4 linked regions of the Drosophila melanogaster genome follow. The protein of the gene in region 4 interacts with the protein of the main gene of each other region in a pairwise test. Each region holds a gene or a part of one and is shown on either strand. Other genes may lie near its edges. The genes, in order: CG33655, CG13461, CG6357 and CG4716.

Region 1 (5,832 bases), 8.1 Mb from region 4:
GCCGTTCTGCTTCCAGAAGTGCGGCATCCTGTTATCCATCGTTCTTCTTGTGCTAAGCAATGGAATAACCCGGGTTTGCTGCCACTATCTTATTAAAACCTCGCTGCTGACACGTAGGAGGAGCTTCGAGATGCTCGGTCTCCATGCTTTCGGTACTTCCGGCAAGCTGCTGGTGGAGCTGTGCATCATTGGCTACCTGATTGGAACGTGCATCACGTATTTTGTGGTCGTGGGCGATCTGGGTCCGCAGATAATCGCCAAGATTTTCGCGCTGGACGTGGCAGATCACCTGCATCTGCGGAGTCTGGTAAGAAAGTGCTATTCTATCCAAGAAGAGAAACTAACTCTTATCTACCAGGTCATGGTCGTAGTCACTGTGGTGTGCATAGTGCCCCTCGGCATGCTCCGCAATGTGGACAGCTTGTCCGCCGTTTGCACCGCGTCCATAGGTTTCTATGTCTGCCTAATTCTCAAGATCGTGTTGGAGGCCCAGCCACACATTACGGCCAACGACTGGACGGAAAAGGTGCTCTACTGGGAACCGGCGGGCGTACTCCAATGCCTACCCATCTTCAGCATGGCTCTCTCCTGCCAAATGTGTGTACACCCTGCTTTCTATGTCCGCAAAATTTATTTATATATCTGATCTATTTACAGGCAACTATTTGAGGTCTTTGAGAGCATTAACAACCAGAGTCTCGACAAATTAAACGGCATCGTCCGCAATGCCACTTGGATTTGTACTTTTGTTTACATATCTGTTGGTTTTTTCGGATATGTGGCGTTTTGTACGCACACCTTTTCGGGTAAGCCAGCCACCTTTTTGAGGCATTCTCTGTTCTACATATTTGGCTTTGTATTTATAGGCAACATTCTGGTGAACTTATCGACCTCCTTTGGTAGCGATATCATTAAAATTGGCTTTGTGCTGTCAATTGCTTTTAGTTTCCCATTGGTAATCTTTCCCTGCAGAGCCAGTCTCTATTCGCTGCTATACAGAAAGGTATTTTTGTAACTTCAGTTGGATGGTGTAGACACTAAATATCTATTTTGTATAGGGTCATACGGAAAGCAGTAGCTACATACCTGAACAACGCTTTCGATTCATCACTATCTTCATCGTTGTCTTTTCGTTATGCGTGGCTTTGGTTATTCCCTCCGTGGAGCTTATAATTGGCTTGGTGGGTTCCACCATTGGCGTAGCCATTTGTATAATGTTCCCCGCATCCAGTTTTCGAAAAATCATCAAAAAGGAATCTATGGAACGTACGCTTGCCCAGTTTGTATTCGTAAGTGGATTTCTATTGATGATCCTGGGAACGTATGCGAACCTAAGTGCAATTGATGAAAAGAGCTCCGGCCCGGAGTTTGATATGGTTGCCATAGGCACCCCTCTGTATCCCGATGGCCAAGTGCCAGCTGTCGTCGGCGAGCTACCAAAACATTTGGCCAAAGAATCCATTGACAGTGAAAAGAACCTATTGTTAAAGAAACTGGATGTCCAAAATCCAGACAAATTAAAACAAACCGTTGAGGATAAAGTTGTTGATATGCCGGAGGTAGTGCAATCAGCTTCCTCCGACAACCCACCGTTGCCACCACTGCCCATCGATGAAGTCCATGTAGTTCCCATAGATAGTAAAAATTCTGAAACGGATATTAAAAAACTACCAGTAGAAGCCGTAGAAGCAAACCCACCAGAAGCCAAACCACTCGATGTCAACCTTACCGTGGATAAGCCCAAGAATAATCCGCCTGCTGTTGCTGCATCGCTTCCAGATAAACCAAAAATTGGATCGAGCTTGTTATCAGCAAGCAATACAATTGATGGAGCGGCCATCAAGAAGGAGGAGGACGTGGCTGCCGAAGAGCAAAAGGAAAGTAAGGCTAATGCAGATGAGCTACTCAAAACCCAAAAGGAATTAAAGGAGACCAAAAAACTATTGGCGAAAACCGTTGGGGAGCTAAACGAAGAGTTGGCCAAGAAAAATTCATTTAATCAGCCACCTTTGGAGTTACAGAAAGATGAGCCTTTGGATACTGGTGCGAAATTTGCCGAGGAACCGAAGAAGGCTGAAATTAAGCTTAAGGAGTCGCAGCCAGTTGCGGACGAAAAGAAGGAGAGAAGGCGGCAGGCATCGTTAATGGACATACTCACGGAAAATACACATTTGCGCGATGAAAAGGAGGCCCATGCCGGCGTTTTTGAACCTCTATCCTACAAAACCGGAGAGTTACTCAGGAATTCGACCGTAGATAAAGAAGCGCTTATCAAACGATTGCCCATTCCACTAGCCCTAATGGTGAATTCTACTCAGCCGAAATCATCGAATGACTCGGAGATCAAGAAACCCAACCTTGAAGACAATGTAGAGGCCATTCGCCGGGAGCTGCTCAATCTGCGAAGTTCGGCGGATGCGACAGAGCAGCCACCGGCAAGGGTTAAACGTGAGGCCTCAAACGACGAGAACTGCCTACGCCAGCCCAAGCTGGATGAAGTGAATAATAATGTGGCTGCAGCTGCCTTGAGCTTGAACATGGAAAGTATTGGACGCGATCTCAAATCCATCAAAGATGATGACGTCGAGATAGTTACTGAAAACGAATCCTACCAAGCGAGTCCAAATGGAACCCAAACTTCGCTGCAGACGTAATGCGGATAGTTTACAACTATGCAAAGCTTTATGTATATAACCTTTACATGTATTTATTTAGTTTATAAGAAACTGTAGACTAGAAGTATATACAAATTATATACAGTTCATATGACTTGGGAATATTGTGTCAAATTTCTCGTGGAGTTGCTAGCAAAATTGTATGTGAAGCCCAGGTTTTTTGTAATTCCATCAAAATGTCCATCGTCCTTGATGTTATCCAACAAGTTGTGTTGCAGAAAGCTTACGATCTAACATGCGAGGCAGCCATTTTAGCCTTGAGAAAATGTGGCAAAGTGAGTAGGTGTAATATTTTTAAAATAATATTTATATCGCAATGGTTAATTTCTATTTAAGCTGAAAATAGAGGATGGTAAATCGAAAGCAAAGCGTGAAAAGCCTCTACCTCCGGTCAAGCCTATTTCCCAGGAAGCGGTTTCACCAATGAAAGCTCCAACGATTCCCGAGGCTAACACCATTCCAAAATATACGGGACGGGACATGCCTCGAAAGAACTTTGGCTCCATCGATCCCCCCCAATGCTCCTGCATGCGTGTGTGCCGAGATAGTTACTTCTCTTAGACGAAAAAGAACGCTTAAAAACAATTGCAACTTTAATAGAATAGGAATAGCAAAATTTCAAGGGACCTCAGGCATCGAATCTCATTCCATCTTGTATCCGTACAATTATCAAACGTAACACTAATAACAGTTTTTGGTAGCAACTAACAGGTTTGAATATGAGTATTTACGGTGGTTTAGGCCACGTCTGCTCCCAAGGAGTGCAGATCGTACAGGACTTCCAAAATGGCAGCAACACTCCAGGCCTGCGTGCGACAGGAGTCACCGCAGTAGGAGCCATTATCGTTGGTCAACTCGGGCAATCCGCGCCAATGGGATGTCTGTAGCTCTCGGAGATGGGCCCGTAGTATGGCCCAGGTCTCGGCAATGGTCTCGTCCAAATGGCCACACTTTTTGGCGAAGATCAGGCGCGCCCGCAGGTAAAAACCGATGGGCCATACCCACTCCGGCCCCTGGTGGTAGTTTGCGCCATGGGCTACAGTGCAATCGGTGGAGTCATTTGAGTTGTCATAGTTGGCCCTATAGTTCCAGTCCTCGGGATCCATCGTCTTCATGCCCAGCGGTCCCAGAAGATACTTTTTGGCGCGCTCCAGTGCACGCCAGGCATTCTGAGGATTGCACAGGTCGGGAGCCACGGTCAAGGTGATGGGGAAGTTGCATCGCAGCTGGTAGTCCGTCCAACTCTGGGTGGCTCCATAGCTGTCCTTGTAGATAAGCTTCTTGTTGGCCACCGAGCAGGTTTCCGATTCGGATACAAAGAAATACTTGTCAAAGTTGTTCTTGATGCGATCCGCCCACTCCTTGTAGCTCCACTTGGTCACTTCGCCCGATGGACCCTTTCGTTCCACGCCGGTGTACGGGATAACCTCCTTTTCGGCTAGGCTTTGCATAAACCGGAGTACGGCATACTGGAGGCCAACGAGCTCCACGGCTGATCCGTCGCGCGGCGTACTTGGACGTCCCTTGTTTCCGGCCTTCTGTGAGGATCCCATTTTGTCCATCCAAGTGCCGCAGTTGAAGTTATTGCCTCCGAATACAAAGCCAGTCTCCGGGTGAATTCCGATCTGATTGTTAAAGCCCTGGTCCACCATGTGCGCATCGATCTCATAGCCTGCATTGCGCTCCCTATACTGCAAGCCCTGAAAATGCACCTGCAGTGCCTCCTGCATCACGTCGAAGAGAAGTTGGTCGAAGGCACCTGGAGCATGGGCATCGGCATCGTCGTACGGAAATATGCGGGACACCTTGTCCTTCAGGATCTCGGCACCCTTGGGGGCATCCTCCACATACTGCTTGATGCAGTACATCCACCACCAGATAGCATCGCGGCAGTTGAATCTCGGCTTGCTGCCGCTGTCCAAAAGATTCGGAATGAGTCCGTGTCGAAGGGTCTGACCAAATCCAATGATGATGAAGCGAGCCTCGTTGTAACGGCCAGTGAGGAACATGGAGCCACGCAGAGCGATGAAGGTATCACGGCCCCAGCACCGCATATAGCCTACATAAATGGTTGAATATTCCATTATTCCGTTTCGATTGTTAAATATAATAGATAAACTCACCCGTTGAGAAATGCGGCAGACCAGCAGATAGAGTCACACATTGCTTTGGAGGCTTGGGTGGACTTAGAGCAGGACTGAATCCCGGCAGATTGGCCGACTTGCAAACGGAGAGGAACTGCAACGTGGACAGGGCCAGGGATTGTGGGAAACTGTGGCCATTCTTAATGAAGCTGTAAAAATTAAAGACTTAATAAAAACTCCATGAATGCAGTCGGCTCTAATGGACATACTCTGGCATTAGTTCGTTGACCTGGTTGATGAGCACATTGTAAACCCCGCTGACAATGGCATCAAAGTAGCAGGGTATGAGGTAGCGTGGAATATTCTTCAGTGGCTCAAAGGTAGCTTTGAACCAGGCGGAGAGTGGTTTCAGGTCTTCATAACTAGTTAGGCGATCAGAAATGTAATCTGAAAAGAATTATGTTGTAAAGTAACTACATAAATCTCTATCTTTACAAACTTACCCATCATCCAGTTTCCGTCGCGCAGATTGTTACAAAGCGGATGTCCCAAGTCATTTTTAGGCGAAATCTCCGTCAACAGGGAAATGAATCCTTGCAATCCGCAGTAAACGATCTTTCCAAAGTTGGGAATGTCGTAGGCGGTGCCACCTTTGCCAAGATCCCTCTCCTCATCATCGCAGCTGAAAAGGGCACCACTAAGTGCCACCAGATCCAACTTGGAGACGATAGCCTGCAGCTGGGAATACTCCTCGCCAGATCCAATACGCAGGGCAGCCGAGATTTTCTGGAGCTTATCGAAACTGGTGCGAGGACCAGGATGCATAGACACTCTGATGGCCACCACAGTGCCGGGTCGTAGATTGGCAAAGTTTAGCTCCGTGTTGTTGCCATCCGAATAGGCTTGGGTCTGAAACACTGTCGACTTAGCCAGCGGGATGTGCTCCTGCAGATTCAACTGGAACTGAGTAAAGCCGTTGATTACATTCGGATCCTTTTTGAATGGAGCAGGACGATCGAATGGCTTGTCACTCTGCATGGTCAAGCTGGCCTCCAGGATGATCTCGTCCAGCA
Region 2 (3,856 bases), on a different chromosome or scaffold from region 4:
ATATTAAGAAGTTTCGAGTAAGCGGAGCAAAACAAGCTAATGTGCTATGAATCAGAAAATAAGAATATGGAGGGCCATTCCCAAAATTTGTAAACAATTGTAGGTGGAACAGTGGTTATTCTACAAAGAAATAAAAAGGAGTCATTAATTTGATATAGACATTTTCATAAGCAAGTTAACTATGGATTATAACATGCTGTGTTTGCTTTCCTTAGGTTATACAATATATTGTATATAAAAGTATGACGTTAGCCACGTTTCACTGTAATCTTTATACGTTCTCCAAGTTCCGTCAGTCAAATGTTTACGCACGACTTTGCCTCATTTTTTGACGCTCAAACCAAGGCAACAGCTGTCGCGGGGTAAACACAAAACGAACCAAATAAATTGTCACAATGCGCGCTTTTATTTTTCTGCCAATTTAGAGATTTTGCTATAAAAGCGTATTTTCAATGTGGAACTGAACTTAGTTGAAAACTAAATTTGACAATACAATGCGTGCCTATTTGCTGCTTGCCCTGTTTGGATGTGTGCTTTTGGCCACAGTTTCCGCAAATCCGGTGGACATTGACGACTTGGAGGACCTCGAGGAGGACAAACGAATTGCTGATGAGCAGGATAATGCTAACGATGATGAGAAAGACGATGAGGATTCAAATGAACCCGAGTCCGACGACGACTTAGATGAGCCTGAATCCCCGGAGGACGATTCCCAGAACAATGATGATTCCGAAAGCGACGAGAGCATCCAGTACAATCAAGATGAAGAGTAGCTCTAATGGGAATTAACCCTTTCTATTCTTTATTGTCTTTATCTACACGCTTTCACCGGTCGTTAGACGTTTAAACAACTGTTTACACAGAAATACACAGTTCATCTTCAACAACCAAATAAGTAAAGGTTTTTATGTTATTCTAGTAAATACACACATTTCTGGAAACACCCATCATAATTGGTGCTTTTTACTTAACTTCTTTTTATACAGCTCTTAAATGATTTTGTAAAGAATTACATACTAAACAAAATCTTAAAAATGCAATTTTTATTTAATTAATTGGCCTCAAAGCCACTCTTAATACTCTTATTTCAGCGCAGGGAAAAAGAAATAATTTTCTGCCTGTAATGTGTGGCTCAATAGATCAATAAATGTTTTATCTCTCAAATATTTACTTAACATTAGTAAGGTGCAGCCATTGTGCAGTTTGCAATAGAAATTTTAAAGCAAACACGGCATTCATATATAAGAAGTGCAGTACTTTGAAAAAACTTATTCAAAGAAGAACTAAGTCTACGAAATAGAGATGCACTTTCTGATGGTACTCGTGATAATTGCTCTTTTGGCCATGGCCTTTGTGAGTGCAAGCCCACTTCCCCATCCAAGTGGAGAAGTTATCGTTATTGTCAACCCAAAAGCCCCAGTTGACTGGTGCTCTACAACATCAGCGGCTTAAATTCGAAAATACAAAAATATTTAGAAATTCTCCCCCGATGCAATTTCTCAAACACAAAATATGAAATGAGCAACTGATAAATCACCAATAAAGAAAATAAAAATAAAACTTATTCAGGGTAAAACTTTTAAATACGTTTTTTGGTCTTTATAAGTTAAATGAAATCAATAAACGTTTTGAAGTTCGATTTGGAGATATCAGATTTTTTATTTTGCTTTATATTAGCACATATTACCACGACGGAAATGAAAATCCTTTAGGCGAAGTAAATAGTAATGAAGGTAAGAAAATTTGTATCTAATGTTTTAAAAAGGCCAAAAACCATTCACTATCTTTTTAATTCAATGATTGCATGCGAGTGTGTAATAAATATGACAAAATAAAAACAGAGGTCGCTATAGTCAAGTGCCACGACTATTAGATACCTGTTAATCAGAATAGAGGCAAGCACAACGAACCCACTTACTCAAAACAATTCTGGACAATTCCCAGAATAATATCAATTAAGATTGTGCGTCACCACGCAATAATGGGATAAGCATTTGTTCAAATATGAAATTCGTAAATGACTCGTTCAAATAACAAAAAAAGGCATTTAATATAAAAAGCGATTGATCGAGTAAAGTTTCAAATCAGTTTAAAACTTCGCTGAGCACAAGAACACAAAAAAATGCGATTCCTAATTGTCGTTGCTCTTGTGGCCTTTTTGGCTGTTGGTCTTGTGGCTGCACGGCCAGCTGAGGATGAGGAGTCCTCCATCCAGGATAACACCAATGAGGATTCGTCCAGTAATGATGGCGAGGGAAACTCCGATGCTGCCGAGGAAGAACCTGCTGTTGAAGAAAGTCAAGATTCTGGAAATGTGGATAACCAGGATGATGAAAATAGCGAGGATAATCAGGAGGAGTCAGATAATGAATCAAGCGGAGATGATGAGGAAGATAACAACGGGTCTGATGATAATACCGAATCGGATAATAATAACGATTCAGAAGGCGATCAGGAGCAGGATGCTCCACCCAACAACCAGATTCGACCATTCGGACCTCTTCTCATCCAAGCAAGGCCCCTTTTCCTCGATTAATAACACGTGTTTTTAAAATATCCATTAACAATAAACATTAGACAAAATGCTTTAAAATTATACAACAAATAAAACAGTAAATAAATTAAAGCTATATATGTCGATCGATATGAAAAAACGCCACAAAGTATATAATACTTTTTGCAGAATTTGTTTAGCTTGAGGGGCTTGTCTACACAGTTAAAAAAATTATATAGAATGAATACGCTTTCATACCATCAGTTTTTAAAAAAATGTATGCTTAAATGTCAGTTAAATAACAGTCTTTGGTATTTAAAATCTGGCCACAAGATTTTAAATAATTTGATTTTGCTAATATGCTGATATTATATATATAGTTAAAGTAAATTATTTCATTTAAAGTACCATAACACAAGATAAGCTGTATGTCATAACCCCAAGTATTTTCGTTAAAATCCCGTGTTACAGAATTGCTTTAGCAATTTTTACGGCTATTTTATTGTAAAACAATATATCTCTAAAGTTTTTGACTGCCATTCCCAGTGATATTATAGCAACAATGATTATATGGGGAATTTGAATAATTTCGTGCTACAGAATTTATATATTTTCAAGTTATTTTTAGTGCAAAGAAAGCTGCTTATGATATATGCCTCTCAGTTCCTAAATATATCTCTTAAATTGTAGTTCACTTACATCGTCAGGTGACGGAAGAGTTGGCAGATAAAACTGCAATATTTACTTTTGTACATATATGGCAATCTACAGATTGCACAGCTTGGCAGGTAAAATTTTTCTGAATAAGAAGAAACATTCCGTTTTTTATATAAAATGTGCAGTTGATAGGAGAAAGGTGTAGTTACCGGAGAAATTCAAGTGGATTAAGATGCGTTATTTAGGAATTATTGCTCTCGTCGCTTTCCTGGCCATTTCCACTGTGATGGCACATCCATATGCGAACAGTAGCACTGAAGAAGGATCAGGATCCAGTAACCGATCGACTATTCGTCCTGTCCCCAGATGGCCTAAGTGGGGTGGAATCGGTCCAGTCATTTTAAACACTCCCCCCACTCCGTGACAATGAACTACGGAAAGAAATTAATTGTGAAACCCCACAACGAACCTTTGTTGTTGTCTAAAAAAAAAAATATCTCCAAAAATACGCTTGTAAAACTTTCCATTGAGACAATTGTTCAAATACCAAAGCGTAAATAAAGATTTCGTAGTAGATTCTACGAATCGGCCAAAATTTGCGAGACTTTTCCTATAAATAGCTGAATGTTGTACGAAATGGGAAAGCAGTTTTCGCGATAACTTCTTAGACTCAACTTCAAAATGCGTTCCCTGATTCTTGTCGCT
Region 3 (5,144 bases), 580 kb from region 4:
TAAATAAATATTTATAGCGGCTCCACTTATAGGAAACTTCACGATCTGCACGGCAGGTTGGTTCGATTGGAGGTGAATGAACGGGTCGAGTTGCGGCCAAGTGATTAACGTTGACAGATAGATGTGGCAAGAAAAGGGGCATGAAAAGGGGTCGCGGGATGCGATGAGATGGGATGGGATGGTGTAACTATGTATTGGCCAAGTGGTTACCTAACGCTTTCCACTCGCTCTGCTGTCCACCGTTCCAGATGCGGATGTGCTCAACGATGTGGCTGCAGATGACGCTGGGACTGGCCCTGCTGGGTGCTGTGTCATTGCAGCAACTGCAGTCGTTTCCCAAGCTCTGCGATGTGCAAAACTTCGACGACTTCCTCCGGCAGACGGGCAAGGTGTACTCGGATGAGGAGCGAGTCTATCGCGAGAGCATCTTCGCGGCCAAGATGTCGCTGATCACGCTGAGCAATAAGAACGCCGACAACGGCGTGTCCGGATTCCGGCTGGGCGTCAATACGCTGGCCGACATGACCAGAAAGGAGATAGCCACCTTGCTGGGCTCCAAAATCTCCGAATTTGGCGAGTAAGTAGCACCATCTTACGCATATCTAGAGCTCGGGGGAAGTCCCCTTTTTGGCCATAAACGAATTATCACCCAGCTTATAACTTTCAAACGGGTTTCGGTATCGTCGTCCATATGATTTGTAACGTTACGTAGGTGCCGATTGGTTTCCCGGTTATGCTAATCAAGAAATCAGAATTGATCAAATATTCCGACCATAGGTTTGTGGTTTCCCGAAAACTATAACCAAATGGGTGGAAACAAACAAAACCCTTCCATATCGAACTTATTTATTACGACGAAGCTCCATAACAAATGTTTCATAACTTATCGGTTGTTTGTCATACATTTAAGAACATTATGAATAACATTTAAATGTAGTCTGGTTGCCACTTAAGTAAGCTACTAATTTGCTTTAATCTTTGCTTAACGGAATACTAAAATGTTTTACTTACCTTGCAGGAGATATACGAATGGCCATATCAACTTTGTGACTGCCAGGAATCCGGCGAGTGCCAATCTTCCCGAGATGTTCGATTGGCGCGAGAAGGGCGGAGTGACGCCACCGGGATTCCAGGGTGTGGGATGCGGTGCCTGCTGGTCGTTCGCCACCACAGGAGCGCTCGAAGGACATCTATTCCGGCGGACTGGAGTGCTGGCCTCGCTGTCGCAGCAGAATCTGGTGGACTGTGCCGATGACTACGGCAACATGGGCTGTGACGGTGGCTTCCAGGAGTACGGTTTCGAGTACATACGCGATCACGGTGTAACGCTGGCCAACAAATATCCGTACACACAGACGGAGATGCAGTGCCGTCAGAACGAAACCGCCGGACGTCCACCGCGCGAGAGTCTGGTGAAAATTCGCGATTATGCCACCATTACTCCCGGGGATGAGGAGAAGATGAAGGAGGTGATTGCCACGTTGGGACCGTTGGCGTGCTCCATGAACGCGGACACCATTTCGTTTGAGCAGTACAGCGGTGGCATCTACGAGGACGAGGAGTGCAATCAGGGCGAACTGAATCACTCGGTAACCGTGGTGGGCTATGGAACGGAAAATGGACGCGACTACTGGATCATCAAGAACTCGTACTCTCAGAATTGGGGCGAGGGCGGCTTTATGCGCATCCTCCGGAATGCAGGTGGATTCTGCGGCATCGCCAGCGAGTGCAGCTACCCCATTCTGTAGGCTCACAACTGCGCCATGCAATTAGTTAGATAGTATAGTCAATTAAAAACCACGAATTTATAACTTTGTTACTGTAGTCGTAAGCTGTGTGGGTCACCACATCGATTCCATGAGTCACGCGGTTAATAAATGAAACAAGTGCCTTATCGGTTTGTGTTGCTTTCTGGGGAAATTCTGAGAAATTGGATCGTAGTCTTAACGGCTATGCACACAAAAATTAATTTTCGGTCTTATTTATTTTTTGAGAAACATTTTCTTAATGAAGAACAACGCTGTGTGGGAAGTTGTTTGAGAAAGTAATAAATTTCAATTTGGCAAAGTGGATAGAAAATGAACAATGCACACATAACCGTATAACCGTGTAAATTTGCGACAAATTTAATATAAACAAGAAATAACGCTACAGTCGGGTGTCACGACTAATGCATACCCGTTAATCAGAAAAAGCTGCAAGCAGCGTAACGTTTGTTTACAGCATTTGTGTGGAAAACACATACATATCTAGAATGTAGTTGTTACATTCCTATCAACGAGCCTAGTATTCCCGCCGAGTAATGGGTATAAAAACGGGGCTTAAATTTCAAATTAATTTAATTCAATACTATTGCAACAAATCATAAAGCAATTATGCCAGTTGTTATATATTTGGTGGGCAAGGTCACGTAAATGCAGTTACTCTTTTAAAAGATCAACACTTAAGAGAAAAGAGAGCAAAAGAAATCGCTCTCGTTGTCGGTTTTTATTTAGATTTCTCTCTGAATGCAGCTGATTTTGAGTACTTGCAATTATATATGTATGTATTCCCCATATAATTCGCGATTCTGGCAGTGCGGAGCGCAGTACGAGAAAAGTGTTCAAGATGACCTCAGCTCGAATTTTACTTGGCGTCCCACTGCTCCTGTATTTGATGGGCGTGGCTCTGGGCGTACCAGTAAGCACATCATCACCTGCTACACAAAAAATCAATCCAGAGATTGGGGTTACTACTGGGAAAAGCGACGCTGACTCATCGACACCCACAATTGAACACACCTCTGGCTTATCTGAGTTCGAGGAGGAATGCCAGTTTGCATGGCAAAGGTTCTTGGTAAGTTTTTTGATCGCATAATTCCAAGAAAGGGTATCGTTCAAGGAAGTTATTTGTATACACTCCAAGGTCGACTTTGATGTACACTACGATAATGACTACGAACGGCAAAAGCGACGTGATATATTCTGCGAAAATTGGCAAAAAGTTCGCGATCACAATTTGAAATACGATTTGGGAGTTGTCAGCTTCAAGAAGGGTATCAACCAGTGGAGTGATCTTACCTTTGAAGAGTGGAAAGAGAAACAAACTCCCAAAGTTATGCCAGAAATCGCTAGTGAATCATCAAAGGAGGAGCGAGACAAAGTCAATTGCCAGGCTGCATGGGAAAAGTTTTTGGTAAGATTAGCTAGGTTATTAAAACCAACTTGGTATTAATATGTATGATATGAATTACAGATTGACTTTGGAGCGCAGTATAAGAATGCAAATGAAACCGAGAAACGCCGCAATGTATTTTGTGCAAACTGGAGGGCGATTGTGGAGCACAATGTGCAGTATGAAAAGTGGGCAGAGCCCTTCAAGAGGGACATAAATCAGTGGACTGATCATACTATTGAGGAACGATCTAGTCCTGCTCCCGAGATTCGTAAGGAAGAAGCCACTACATCTACATCCGAAATAGATAATGATAATATCATATGCCAGCCGGCTTGGGAGAAGTTCCTGGTAAGATATGGTTGGGTATTTAAAGAATTTTTATTAAAGTTGCTTTTATCAATTGCAGATTGACTTTAAGCCGTCTTATCAAGATGATACTGAAACCGAAAAGCGACGAAATGTATTTTGCGACAACTTTAAGTCGATACATAAGCACAATGTTCAATTCGATTTGGGAAATATTTCTTTTAAGAAGGGTATAAATCAGTGGAGTGATTTGACCGTTGAGGAGTGGAAAAACAAACAACGACCTGCTTTTAATCCAGAGTTTTCTAAAGTTGAAGCTACTACAAAAATATCTAAGGATAAGAGGGATGATAATACATGTCAGGCAGCATGGAAAAAGTTTTTGGTAATATTTGGCTTGCAATGTAAATAGAATTTGAGAATTTGAATGAATATATCTTTATTACAGATTGATTTCGGTGCGAAATATCAAGATGAAAAAGAAACAGAAAAACGCCGAACTATATTTTGCGACAATTGGAAAGCGATTCAGGAACACAATGAGCAGTTCGAATTGGGAGTGGAATCTTTCAAGAAGGGCATAAATCAGTGGAGTGATCTAACTGTAGAAGAGTGGAAAACCAAACAACGACCTAATTTAGCTCCAGAGTTTTCAAAAGAAGAAACGACTACAAAAATAAGCAAGGAGAAGAAATACAAAAAAAATGTTTTTTAAAAACTAGATGATAAGATATTGTACCGAGTACATTTTCAGATGAAATGTTTGTCACCTTTTAAATACACGCAAAAATATTGCTACTAACGCAAAGAGAATACCTTAGTGATTTTGGGTTAATTTTTAAAAATATGTATTTATTATTATTTCTTGAGGGGCTGTCCAGTTGAGAATCTTGCTTGAGGAGTTTATCTATTACAATAGTGTTTCGCAAATGTTCAAGCCGATTTTATGGCTGGGTTCGCTATTTAAATCGATCATTAAGTTTTAAATGAGTAAATTTTGTTTTATGTTTCTTTCACTACCTTTTTGTTTTATAACGCACACGAACTCTAAATGATTAATTTATACTTGTATATTTGCTGAGATCCCTATCTCCTTGTTGCATTTAACAGGGCGCATTATTCGTATTACACATACAATCCGTAAATATATATAATATATATGTATATAGTATTTAATTTAACAAATACATTTGTAGGTTATCGCAAGTTGCTGCACTAAGTGAACGTTTTTATGTAATCAATATGTTTACATTCATTGATATCTGAGTACATCGAAGTGGACAACACACCGCTTCTTTACAATGCATAATGGGTATTGTTGGGGCATTTATAGTTACTATACAAATCTTTTGGTAGGAAGGGGGTGGCAACAGTAAGCCTTGAACAAGCCCTATACCATTTCATATCTTCAGCGTGTTTTTGCGAACCATAACTAGAAATATTCCTGCAGTAATCTCCCGAGTACTGAATCCCTCACAACAATTCTACGGTTATTGAATCTCTTATGGTTTAGAATTTACATATTGTTTGGCGTTTATTGTAAGTGGTTGCATTTGCTGCTCATCTAACCAAGCATCGACCCTGGCCACAGGTTCTATATTTGTTGGGTAAATCTCAGATGGTAAATTGGATATGTGGCTTGAGCAGTGTGGTTCGTACATATGTATGTCCTTCAGGTGGCC
Region 4 (4,505 bases):
CCGCGGCTCATCGCCAGCTGGTTGGTTGCCCTCCTCTGGCTTGGAGATCACTTCGGGCTCAGCTGTTGATTCTGGTGGCACAACCACTGGAACAGTGTCTACCTCGGATTTTTCACCTGCCTCGATGGCCTCCACCACGTGCAAGACTTCTTCCGTAGAGGCATGATTCTGGGACATTTTTGGTGTTAATGTGTGTGTGTGTTTTGTTTTTTTTTTGGTGTTTTTGTTGTTTTTAAATGTTTTTATTATTTTATATTTTTTTGTGTGTGTTTATTTTGTGTTACCTGTGGGTGTGTTGTGTTTTTGAGTTTCTATCTTATTGTGACAAATAACTCAAGCTAAATAATAGGTAATAAAAAGTTTATGTCAATATGGATTAATTAAAATTTAAATATATAAATAATAAATACATATATCCAATACTTTTTGCAAAGCTCTTGCAGTACAAGTTATAAATGAACGCATTTGATTTAAAGAAAAACTGGTATACTTTTAGGCTTGACATACTAATACTATATCCATTTAGATTAAACGTTCTTAAGCAATAAACAAAATGAATTTAAATGATATGAACTTGTGTAAACAGATTCTTTAGTCTTAATAAGAAGGCGATTTTTTATTTTTAAGAACTACAGCTCCATTACCGAACTTTGTGTGGAATTAAGGCGAAACTGCCGGACTTTAAGCACCATCTGGGGTCCAATTGGAGGACCTAAGTAAATCTTGCGAGGGCTTTAAAGTTGATTGATCGTTGCCCATTGTGTGCGTGTGTTCTTGGAATTTTTTTTGTCCGGGTGCGGTAAACTTTATGACATTGATAAATTTTTAATAAATATGACAAAATGTCGGCGCTTTAATTCACTGCCATTTTGGGCAGCGGCACCTGGTGCCTGGAGCAAGGATTTACATAAAAGTGCTGCAGTGCTGAAGAGTATAATTTGCATGGGAAGCACTGCAGCACGTGGAATGGATTTCGGGTCTTAATACTTTCCGTTTGATTGTCTGGGCGTGGAAATTGATTCAGCACAATGCCAAATTGCTTTAAATTATGCATGAGCCTGCGACTTTGCTCCACCCAATCCACTGCTTTCCCTTTGATGTTGCGGAGGACATCTGGGAATCATATTCAATAAGTTGGATCCGCAGTAAGAGGGCAAATAACTTTTTTTATGACAGACGCAATGGGCCAATCCCCTTTGATGGCTGTTAAATAAATTTGTTTTCGATGTTATTTAAGACGCTGCCATTGCCGCGCCTTCAGGTGAATAATAGCCAACTTTCTGATGGATATTTAATAGTCGGGTAAACACCGGTGACACTATAATTGCCCCTACTGGGCACTCATCAGTGGACACATGTGACCTACCGGTGGACGCACTTCCCAGTCGTCTCACGTCTTCTTCGGCGAAACCGAAAGGGAATCCTTTTGCTATTTATCATTCAGTCCGAAACTTTTCGGGAATCCTTTCACTTTTTTTTTTTGTTTGCTTATCTGTCTTAAGTGGCATTTTTGGCTTAGGCGTCTACAGTATCTGTCGGATACTTAGGAGAACTCTTGAACTTGACTTTCCCTCCACGAAACGCTTCAATTACGCTGGCACGTTGCGCCGGCAAAATTGTAATTTACGAGTGTTTCTCTACACAGCGCGGGAAAAGATAGTCTTTTGGATACACAAATCGAACAGATTAAAAAATGATAAACAATTTTATGGTAAAAGTTTTCGTTTTACTTACTTTTACTTATATGAAAAGAAGAAATAGGCAAGCGCTTAACTTTCGGATTTTTTGATTTAATGGAGCTCTTTGGAATTCATTTTTTCATTAATAAATTTAATTTTATATTTTTTCCCAGAAATTATATATACATATATATGCTGTTTAGATTAGAAGTTCAATTTATGTGGGTCGTTCTTTAAAAACAAATATGGATTTCACTGAAAAGCATTAAAAGATTAGATGAGTTAACATATATATTATATATATATTTAATTAAGGAATTTATCTATAAAACAAAATTGTAAAGCTAATAAAAAAATATTATGTATTCAACAAGATTTTGAGTGTTTAAATTTGTTTTAAAATAATTCTGAATACAAAAATATTACCTGTGACTGGTAAATTTACATTTTTTGCTTGCTGTGTACTCGGATTATACTTATACATTTTTGCTCATCTGTTTTGAAGTAGCATCAATAATTACAAATTGCGCGTCGGGATGATCTGTAGTGATCCGTGGGCTTATCAGGCCTGACTTTGGCAGCTCGATAGTGCATCGCGTTCCACAGCCTCTCAATTTGTTGTCATGAATTATGCAAGTGAGTCTGGATTTCTGGACTCGCAATTGGCGCAAACTCGGAAATTGCGCAGTGCCGCGGAAACTGAAAATGGGAGAGAGTGTTATGTGCAATCTATATGAAATATATGTATTTATACATTCGCATTTGATGGAAGCTTTAATTACGGTTGCACCCGTAATCTGAAAATCTGGACAGAAACGAACTTTTGAGGTTTCTTGGCAAATCTTTGCCATCGGTCGTAGTCAGTTTGCAAAATAAGGTCTTGGCGCAAAGTGTGCCTAGAGGAGCACAGGAGAGTTTACATACCTTAAAAGGTTATACCACAAGGACTAGATCAATGCAGCGATCACTGTTACTACTGGCCGTGTCAGCCATCCTTTTCTGTGCTGCAGTGGCTCTGCCCTCAAGACTAACCAAATCCGAGGAGGATTGGCTGGAGCAGATGCTGACGCTGAGCGAAGACAGCGGTGAACTGCAGGACCTGGACGAGAGCACCGGAATCCATATTATCAAACGATCTGCCAAGGATGCCAGCAGCTCATCTGAGGAGCATAATGACAAAGCCAAAGACAAGGCCAAGAACAAGGCGGACAGCTCCGGCGATTCCTCCTCCGAGGAAAAGACAACACCAGCTGCGGTAGAAGAAACAACTACGGAGCACACTGCTAGGAAACGCAGAAGCACGGAGGATACGATGGTGCGATCCTTTTGCCAGTCACTGAAAGAATTCGATATTAAGAATTTCAATCTACAATCTGCATATGACCGGGCCGTAAGCTTTTGTAAGCAAAGGGAGTCTAGACGAAGACGCCAGGCTGCCGATCAGAAATCCAGCGATGCGCCGGACCTGGATGCCCAGGCTGAGAAGGAACTGGACGAGCAGATGGCGCAGGCTGTGGCGGAGCTTTTGAAGGACAAGGACAACACCAGCATCGAAGACTACGCCCAGGGATGCGAGGTCATGGAGGTTAGCTCCAAAGAGGCCAACGAGGCCACCTATGCCGAATGATTTTGAATAAACATAAATAACATTATAGCTTATGTTTTCGTAGCCATATTACATTTTTACTATTATTATAATGACTGAGTCATCAAAACAAGAGATTAGGCTATTGCCTATGTATTATTTACTTTTTAACTTATGGGGTGTGTTTATTCAAGTTTACGAGTAACACGTATAAATATCAGCAACAAGAAATATTTTCCTCTTCTAATAATTAATTTTGCCATATTATTTAACTATTACAATTTTCATTACTTGAAATGCATTTGGAAATTAGCTCACCTAACATTGAAACTTAGCTTATTTAATTGTGTAAGTCAAATTATGCATTACGTGTCTGTTTTAAGGGACTAAGTGCGTCTGTTTCAATCTACATGCATTATAAAGAGTCATTTCTGAAACCCACTATCTGCCTGACTCAATTGAATTTGAGTCTATAATCACATAATCGCCGAGGAGGCGATAGCACATTTGTTGAGGCTTCGCCGGTAACGTGTGCAGCTGTCCAGAATCAGTTCGAAAAAATCAGTCTCAGCGAGAAGAACCCACCCATCAAGCTAGTGGAATAGTGGAGTTTACCAGGATATACAAAGATTACCGGGATGCGTCGATCTGTTTTGCTGTTCCTAATCTCCGCCATTGTGCTGAGCGCGGCACTTCCTTTGCCCCCAATTTGGGAGGACTCCGAATCGGATTCCGAGTATAATGATTATAGTGAGCTATCGAAGCAGCAGAATCTGAAGAGCAGTATCGAGAAAACTATCAGCAAGCGAGCTACCAAGGACACTAGTAACAGCACGGAAGATGATGAGCTCACGGATGGTAGCAATGAGAATGTTAACGATAAAATGGACAGCTCAATGGAATCGTCTTCTATGCTGATCATGGCATCCGAGGAAGAATCGGAGTCCGCTGTCAGAAGGCGCAGGTCTGGTGAGAGGAACAGGAATATAGGGCTCCTGGCCACGATTTGCCCAAATGCTGATTTCAGAGATTTGGAGAACGGTATTACCCTAGATTCTAGAATTGAAATAAGGGATATGTATGCGATTTGTAAAACTCTACCAGAGTCCGGTCGTCTACAGCAATACAACCGTTCATAAATTAAATAAAAGCAAAGAAGAATTCTAAAAATTTAAAAATTCTTCTGAAATTTGTTTCCCTCAGTCATGAAACCCCTGTCTCATTAGTCATCTACCTCATTA

What was found.
Region 1: the proteins of CG4716 (region 4) and CG33655 interact in a two-hybrid assay, tested with the Drosophila melanogaster proteins (one large-scale study listed by BioGRID).
Region 2: the proteins of CG4716 (region 4) and CG13461 interact in a two-hybrid assay, tested with the Drosophila melanogaster proteins (one large-scale study listed by BioGRID).
Region 3: the proteins of CG4716 (region 4) and CG6357 interact in a two-hybrid assay, tested with the Drosophila melanogaster proteins (one large-scale study listed by BioGRID).

Annotation. Positions count from the first base shown.
Region 1 is NT_033778.4:21,316,983-21,322,814, reverse strand, and holds CG33655 (uncharacterized protein), read left to right. Parts: upstream 1-2,797; 5' UTR 2,798-2,851; coding exon 2,852-2,950; coding exon of another isoform or gene 2,951-2,954; intron 2,955-3,011; coding exon 3,012-3,236; 3' UTR 3,237-3,412; coding exon of another isoform or gene 3,413-4,734; 3' UTR 4,735-4,798; coding exon of another isoform or gene 4,799-4,968; 3' UTR 4,969-5,022; downstream 5,023-5,832. Other genes in the region: CG30394 (uncharacterized protein), read left to right, coding at 1-307, 359-597, 658-806, 867-1,003, 1,059-2,654; CG9485 (uncharacterized protein), read right to left, coding at 3,413-4,734, 4,799-4,968, 5,029-5,206, 5,263-5,832.
Region 2 is NT_037436.4:15,050,742-15,054,597, reverse strand, and holds CG13461 (uncharacterized protein), read left to right. Parts: upstream 1-2,107; 5' UTR 2,108-2,122; coding exon 2,123-2,536; 3' UTR 2,537-2,667; downstream 2,668-3,856. Other genes in the region: CG18649 (uncharacterized protein), read left to right, coding at 495-773; CG43680 (uncharacterized protein), read left to right, coding at 1,303-1,452; CG43679 (uncharacterized protein), read left to right, coding at 3,384-3,575; CG12310 (uncharacterized protein), read left to right, coding at 3,833-3,856.
Region 3 is NT_033778.4:13,837,471-13,842,614, forward strand, and holds CG6357 (uncharacterized protein), read left to right. Parts: upstream 1-2,582; 5' UTR 2,583-2,607; coding exon 2,608-2,835; intron 2,836-2,904; coding exon 2,905-3,174; intron 3,175-3,234; coding exon 3,235-3,504; intron 3,505-3,562; coding exon 3,563-3,847; intron 3,848-3,910; coding exon 3,911-4,177; 3' UTR 4,178-4,273; downstream 4,274-5,144. Other genes in the region: CtsL2 (cathepsin L2), read left to right, coding at 249-577, 1,019-1,748.
Region 4 is NT_033778.4:13,254,049-13,258,553, forward strand, and holds CG4716 (uncharacterized protein), read left to right. Parts: upstream 1-2,538; 5' UTR 2,539-2,634; coding exon 2,635-3,306; 3' UTR 3,307-3,398; downstream 3,399-4,505. Other genes in the region: CG4714 (uncharacterized protein), read right to left, coding at 1-177; CG10799 (uncharacterized protein), read left to right, coding at 3,903-4,403.